Ovis aries: one gene and its partner. The protein of the gene in region 2 interacts with the protein of the main gene of each other region in a pairwise test. Links are inferred from orthologs where the notes say so. Each region holds a gene or a part of one and is shown on either strand. Other genes may lie near its edges.

What was found. The genes of interacting proteins can lie anywhere in the genome.
Region 1: the proteins of BYSL (region 2) and DDX17 interact in binary tests that used the Homo sapiens proteins (3 or more experiments, as listed by UniProt). The two-hybrid records come from large-scale screens. The link is inferred for Ovis aries from reciprocal best matches to the Homo sapiens genes BYSL and DDX17.

The regions. Positions count from the first base shown.
Region 1 is NC_056056.1:216,005,324-216,009,416, forward strand, and holds the start of DDX17 (probable ATP-dependent RNA helicase DDX17), read right to left. Parts: upstream 2,816-4,093; 5' UTR 2,504-2,815; coding exon 2,454-2,503; intron 1-2,453. UniProt on the Homo sapiens protein: As an RNA helicase, unwinds RNA and alters RNA structures through ATP binding and hydrolysis.
Region 2 is NC_056073.1:15,728,892-15,732,538, reverse strand, and holds part of BYSL (bystin), read right to left. Parts: intron 3,367-3,647; coding exon 3,228-3,366; intron 2,969-3,227; coding exon 2,835-2,968; intron 2,259-2,834; coding exon 2,098-2,258; intron 1,991-2,097; coding exon 1,888-1,990; intron 1,410-1,887; coding exon 1,064-1,409; 3' UTR 1-1,063. UniProt on the Homo sapiens protein: Required for processing of 20S pre-rRNA precursor and biogenesis of 40S ribosomal subunits. May be required for trophinin-dependent regulation of cell adhesion during implantation of human embryos.

The sequences.
Region 1 (4,093 bases), on a different chromosome or scaffold from region 2:
ACACTTTCTACCACCTTTATAAGGTTGACTACAATATCCAATAGAGCCTTTCCTCTTGTAGAACCTGAGTGCATTTGTATAATCATTTAAATATCCATATATCCTAACCCCTTGCATACTATGCTGCTCCTTAATGTTTTTGAGTATTAATTTTGATTTGCAATAAATGCCAGTTTTCAAAGATTTACACATTAACATGCAGAATCATGTACAATGCATTTGGACTGTACATGTATATACACTACCTCACTCAGTCCCCTTTCAAAATAATCCACTTCAGCTCTGTACATTTAAGAACAAAAGAATAGCAATTCAAATAACAAAAGAAATCTCATAGTAAAGGTGGAGTTAGGGCACAGACTTTACGAAAGTGCCATTTTGTTTGAAACATTATTTAAGTCTTTTCTTAATATCTGATACTTAAGAGTCAATATGGGATAAACTAAGTATGGATCAGCAATTCACTTTTTCTGCCTTTCAGATAATAAACCTTTTCTTATTAAAGCATATATATGGTAAATATAAAACATCCATGGTAAAGAAATAATATTATCAGTATTTTGATAGCTTCTATGTGCCTATCTCAAGTTTAGAATCCCCATCATACCAATGAGTACCTCGAATTTTAGCCATTCCCTTGTATTCTGGTCTTGTCATCTGTTAGTTTACTTACGTTATCCTTCTAGGACACCTTGTATTTTTACTTAATATTATGTTTGTGAATCATACACGCTGATATAAATTTTTCTTTTTCACTGCTGTACTGTATTCTATGGGACGAATTTATCCAGACATTTGAACTGTTTCTAATATTCTGTCATAAACAACACTGTTATAAACATGGATACCAAAGTACATGTACAAGGGTTTTTCTAGGCCTATGAGTCTAGGGTATAAAGCTTGAGAGGAATTCTGGGTCATTTTCATTTTACTAGGAAACATTAAGTTCTTTTTCCTAAGTGGCTGTATTGAAATTCATTATAAATTTGGCTATACTGTGAAACACTAAGCAAACATTCCACTTATAGTCTTCCGAATTTAAAGCTAAAAGTATTTCCTTTCTGAACACAGTGTAAGTCAAAATAATCCTTTTTATTTAATAAGTGAAAGACGCTCAGTCGTGTCCCACGCTGCAATCCCATGGACTATACAGTCCACGGAATTCTCCAGGCCAGAATACTGGAGTGCTAGCCTTTCCCTTCTCCAGGGGACCTTCCCAAGCTAGGGATTGAACCCAGGTCTCCCGCATTGCAGACGGATTCTTTACCAGCTGAGCCACAGTAAATCAAATAATTGAGAAGCGTGTAGGACTATTAGGTCTCGTAGTTATGTATTTGAACCACAAAAGACAAAAATGTTTGGAGAAAACAGCTTTAACAGGATGCCTACTACAGAGAGACAATTACAAACACTATCTCAATTCTGGGGAACAATGCAATTACTATCCCCATCTTCGGAAGAGAAAATCTGCTCACAAAGGTTCAGGATCTTGCCCAAGGTCACACACACACAATCTATATATATTAAGACGTGGCGTCCCCAAAATTTTTATCCATAGATAAAACTTTTTTTAAAGCGACTTTTTCGATTAAGAGGAACCTTAAGATTTGAATCTCAGTATCTGGGAGGACTTCACGTTTAATCCTGTTAACTTCCAACCCAGTAACCGTGGCATTACTAGATCAAAAAATTTCAAGTTAGACCAAGATGGTTCAGGCCAATTAGAAAAGAAAAAAGAAACGTTAAAACAAACAAAAAACTCCTCCCTCCCGCCAAACGACGGTTTTAGACAGCAAATATCAGCAAACGTCGCTGGTATTCCAGTGTGCTTCCTTCGAGTTAAAGTACAACTAAACGTAATTTTTAAATATTTTAAAATCTGCAAGTCCGCTTCTTAAAAGTCTCTAGTTTCGAACCAGGTTTCCAGTTCCATAAACAGGGAAGCCATTTGCCGTTAAAAGACTTTCCCAGGGTGAACTCGGAGACCTCATCCTTCTCTCTCAGCAAGAACATCCGCATTTCACGATGAACACTAGCTCTGGAGAGATCAAATGACTTGCTCAAATCCGCCGGGCTCGAACGCCGGGAAACTGAGGAGGCCCGGGCTGGGTCGGCCGCTTCCAGAGCTCCCCTCCTGCTGCCTGTGGGGCTGAGGCTCGGGCGCGCCGCGCCACGACGACCGTCCGCAAGCAGGGGCTGGGGCGTCGCCAAGCCGCCGCCCCCTCCCCCCACCGCCCCGCCAGCGACCCGGGGGCCCAGGCCCACATGAGGCCCGCGCCCTAAACTGCTATTAAGTCCCGGATCGCCTCGCCTCCCAGTAGGGAGCTTCGCTCCTAGGCCCGCAGTCAGCTCCCCAGTTTTCCGCTTGACCGCAGGCTGCGGTCTCCTCAGGAAGCAACCTCCTCCCCGCCCCCCGCGCACACAAGGCCCTTCCTCTCCTCCTCCCCCCTTACCCTCCACGGTCACGATCCCGGTCCCGGTCCCCAAAGCCGCCTCCGCGCATGGTCCCAAACGGATAGAGATCTGGGAGCGGGGCACGGATGGCCGGGCTCGGGAGGGCCTGCGGCTCCGGTCTGGTGACGACCGATGGCGGCGGCGCCTCCGCTGTTGGGGCGGCGGCAGGCGCGGCGCTCTCTCGCTCCGACGCGCTGTCTCCCGTCGCAGACGCCACCGTCGCCGCCTCTCTCGTCGGAGACGGGAGCAAAACACAGAGAATCGGGGTTATAAAAGCAACGGGTAGGTTTGGCTACGCTCAAACCCGGCAGTGCCGCGGCTTAGGCGTCTCCTTCCCTTCCCAGCGACTGCACAAAATGGCGGCCGGCGCTGAGACTGCTCCAGCTTAACGCTACGTACGTCGGAGCCGATACGTAAACAGCGTCTCGGAATAGCCCGAGGGCTTCGCGAAGTACTATGGGTATTCTTGAAGCGTTTTACGTCAATTGCGGAGACGGATGCACTTCGCGGTCTGTAGCAGAAAAACAAAGTACGGATTGGGCGTAGAGTTCTCGCGCCTCCTGAACCAGAACTAGGGGTGGGGAGGGGAGGGGGAGAGCGACGTAACATTCTTGGCGTCGTTAGCCGGCCCACTATTGCGAAGATGCGCAGTGTACGTAACACATTCTGTTTAGAGAATAGAGGATTTTGCCGGGTTCCGACGCGAGACGAAATCAGGGCCTGCTCGTACATATCGGTGTGCAGAGACAATAACCGTCCTCCATATTGCAGGCGTCAACTTTCAGGGTTTCTAGGTGCTAAAATCCGAGGACCGTCTTCAGGGACCCTGGCCGGCGCTCCTAGACGGTCTTGGCCAGCCCTCTGGTCTCGTCGCCCTGGACCCGGCGAGACTGACCGCACGCCCCGGCGCCATTTCCTATCGGTTGCCGCTCAGCGCTGTCGCCGGCGGCCATGATGGAGGCGCCTGGTCCGTTCTTAGGGGGAGTTGGTCAGGCGCCGAGGTCCCAGCTGAATTAGACCGCTATCCTACGCTTCTTTCACAGGAAGTGCATTTTGTGAACAGAATATTTACATTGTAACCGGCTGGACACGGTTGACTAACAAAGAGCTGAAGTGTGGGTAGAGCCCCTCTTTTAAGGTAGACACTGAGGCCCCTGGGCCGGCTTTAAATGGCTCTGCCTCAGAAGACCCGTTACTGGCTCTTCGCGCTCTCCCCAGAGGAAAAGATTTAGTTTAAAAGCGGTGGTCTTCAGGTACTGAAAAGGTGAAGGCATAAGTACGTGTTTTTAAACAGGAAACAGGCTAGACTGCCTTCTCTGTCAATTCCATCTAAGCTGACCTCCTTCTCCCTGCTTCCTTCTCTTTCCAATTTCACTTTTAAAGTCTCACAAGCTTGGCCAGACGGCGTCACAGGATTGTCAGCTGCTACGGCCCTTGCGGAGTAGCTTATTGAACGATTCTTATTTCTACAGGTGGTAAAGCCCCCATTTGGGGGGTTGAGTGGGGTCTCCTACTCTTCTGAGTGATTTCCCAAATTGTTAGAGAAGTAGCATAAGAAAAGGGCTTCCCAGGTGGCACTAGTGGTGAAGAACCCGCCTGCCAATGCAGGAGACATAAGAAATACGGGTTGGATCCCTGG
Region 2 (3,647 bases):
ACCGAATAGAGTCATTAGGTTGGAACAAACTCATATTTGCAAAAGCAAGTAACAGGGTTCTAGCCAGGCTGCACTGGTCTCTGCTGTAGGGGCAGTGAAAGTAGTCACAGGACATGGAAGTGGATGGATGTGGCTGTGTCCCAATAAAACTTTATTTTAGGGACACTGAAACTTAAATTTCATATAATCTTCACCTATCACAAAATACTGCTGTTTTTTCTCTGCCTCCCCCACCAACCATTTAAAATGTAAAAAATCATTTTTCTCTCATGGACTGTAAGAAAACAGGCATACACAACCCTGATTTGCCAACCCCTGGTTGAACGCTTTCATTGGCTAAGAAAGTTAGAAAGGGAACTGGTCTGGTGGTGACCCTGGGTCTGACCTTTCTCATCCTGAATTTCCACCTTCCTCTAGGTGCTTTCTTCTAGCTCTTGCAACCAATCTGAGACCTTCTCGTGTTTGAACAACCTCCTGGTTGCTGGTATTCTCCCCAAGTAGCTTGTGTCAGGGGAAGGCAAAGGCTGTGCCCTCTAGGGGCTGGCAGGGTGGGTACAGCCTAGAGAAGAAGAATAAGGTGGGGGAAATACGTGGCTCCCATGTAAATAGGTAAGAATCCACTGCTACGCATGAGGGGAAAGCAGTGCCCGCCTCCAGCGAAGCAGTGCTTGCTTCCAGCGAAACAAGGATAGCAAAGATCTCCATCCATCACATCAAAACACTGAGGTTCAATAAATACCTGCCTTTTGTCTTTATCCACCTCCCGGTGACCTGACACCAGCCTGAGAGGAAGTACCCATTCCAACCCTAGCTGGGACCCGGGAGTGCTGGGCTGTGGGACCTCAAGTCCGGTCTCAGAACTGAGCAGGGATGCAGGCCTAGAACGCAAGAGGGAACCAGCCCTACTCAGGTCCCCCTGTTGAGAACTGGGGAGTCAGAGGCCAGCGACCTGTCTTGGCCCTGATCCGGGTCTTCAGCTGTCAAGGCTCGGAATCACCTCCAGTCACCATCAGGGATCCTGGAGTCCTTCCACGCTCCGCAGACCCGGACGAGTGCTGCGTCCTCACTCCATGGTGACAGGAACATCTTCTACATCTCGGGGGATGGCACTCTGCAACTCACGCCTGATTTCTGGGGACAGCTGGGGGTGGGGCTGCAGCCGGAGCAGTTCCAGGAGGGCCTCCTTCTGCTCCGTGGCCAGGTCGGCCTTGTAGCGCTGGACCAAAGTCAGGAGGCACTGGTGCCAGAGCACAGGCAGCTCGCGCTTCTCTGTCCGGAAGCCCAGGAAGTGGAAGACCAGGGCGTCCAGCACTCGGTAGGGCAGCGCGTACTTCTTGTCCAGCAGCAGCCGCAGGAAGATGCTGTTGGCCCCACTGTACTCCATCTCTGCAATTTTCAGCATGGCCGCACTAGTGGGGAAGGGAGGCAGGGAAACGCTGGGGGAAAGCTGCTCCTTACCCTGGCCCTGCCACGGGGTCTAAACTGTGCTGTCCCTAAAGGAAAATCTCTGCATTCTTCTCCCCTCCCCTCACTCCCTCGACCTGTTACCCGGGCTACGCTGACTCACGCCAAATACCCTTGTCTGGCTCAGACTGCTTCTGTCTCAGAGTGTGTCCAAATGTCTCTGCCCCAACCTACTTTCTTCCTGCGTTCCCCCCTCTCTCATTCATTCAACTCTTTACTGAGCACCTAGCATGGGCCAGGCCCTGGGACCTTGTTCCCACGGGACTGACAATCTTGTGGAGTTATCATATACCCATCGACTTAACTGCAAACCCAAGGGCTTATGCTTGACTCCTTCCCCACGTGTCCCGACCCCGCCCCAAGTCCTGGGACTCTGCTGTCGAGATGGGCCAATCTATGGTCCTGCAGAGCCCGCAACACTACCTGGAGTGCAGCACGGGGATGGAGCACTTGGTGATGATGCTGCCCACGATGATGGCTTCCCGGAGGGTACAGGTGCCCGACTCGCACAGCGGGATCAGGATGCCTGGGGAGGGGCAGAGGGGCACGGTCACTAGCAGTCCAGAGGGAGAGAAAGGAGGTCCTGCAAGAGCTCCGGCCCTGCCCTTTCTTAATCGCCTCCTGGGTCCCCACCTTTAAACCAGGCTCCAGGTTTGAACAGGGCCTTCTTCAGGGCCATGTAGAGGTGGAAGTTGAGTCGTTTGTACTCAGCGATGTCATCTCGTACCCGGGGGAGCAGAACCAGGTTATAGAAGCGCTGGGCCATCCGTTCCTTTAGGTTAGAGGCAAAAATCCTAGTGGTTTTGGAAAGAAGGAGGAAGATCCCAGGTCAGTTCAAAGAGCTGGCCCTTCAAATATCACTGCGGATGATATTTGCATGCAAGAGATCTGAGGGTCCAGGGAGGGAGCTGGGTCAGTGCAGCACCCAGGTCAGATTAGAGAGGGAACAGGAGGGGCTGCAAGATGTACCTGAATGGGGGTGAACACTGTCTGTCTTCAGGCAAGCCAGAGCTCTGCAGACAGACAGGAACCAGCTGTTCACCTTCCCCTCCCTATCAGGGGTCCCCTGTACCCTGCTGTGACCAGGGACCTGCACATGCCTGGGGAGCCACAGACTTTTGAGGCCACCCTGACACTGCAGGGTTGTGTCCCTGTAGTTAGGCGCCTCTCCCCTAGAAATGCATCACAGGACGTTCTTAACAGGACCTTGGCCCCAGAACAGGAAACAGGAAAAGCTGGGGAAGTGATGCCATAAAGAAGCACAAGAGAGCTCTGGGAGGGCATGTAACGACAAAGAGAGGGAAAGCCTGTCCTTCCCACACCCAGCCCTCCCTATAGACCCAAGGCTGCCCCACTCCCATCAGCTCTACCTTGTGGCCTGGTACATGGCAGCAGCGGTCCAGGCCTCAGGCTCCGTGACGTAGAGGATCTGCTCCCAGTTGGAGAGGGCAGGGATGATCTTAAATGCCTTGGGCAGTTTCCCACTGCGGTACTTAGACAACACCTGCGCAGGAGGGAATAGAACCATCTTCGTCGCTGCTTGTCAGGCACCCATCTGAGTTCCTCGCGTCCATTAACTCACTCAGTCCTCACAACCATCCTGTAAGGAGGTTCTAGTATCATCCTCATTTTTCAGTGGGGAATTGAGCCTAGAGTCATAAGCGGGGAGAGGGACCCCGAGCCTGCCCTCAGGCCTACAAGAGATGTGGGCCCCCAGAGCCCTGGTGGGGGTGTCCCGTCATGGCTCTCCTCTCAGTCCTTACCTCCCGAACCCCTCTGTAGACCTCTAGGACGCGGGGGTCCAGCTGGGGCACAGGGAAGCCCGAGACCTCGGACATGACCGTTTCGACTTCCGTCTGCTTCTCAGTTAACTTCTCCATGATGATGTCAGCCAGGGTGCGCCTGGGGGAACAGGAGGGAGGGGGCGGCAGGGCCGCACTCTCTGTCTGGGGAGCTCTGGACACCCCACGCCATCTCTCGAGAGCCCTGATAAACTTGCAACCTTGCTGGGATGTATGACCTTGGTCCACGCTGGGCCTACCCACCCAGCAAAGAATCCCTGCAGAGCACAAAGGACCAGGCAGTCATTCAGCTGAGGATGGAGCTTCGAGTTGCATGGAGGGGAGGAACCTGGGCTCTGAAGGCGACTGCTGGGTTTAGGTCGTGGCTCCTCCGCTCCCTCT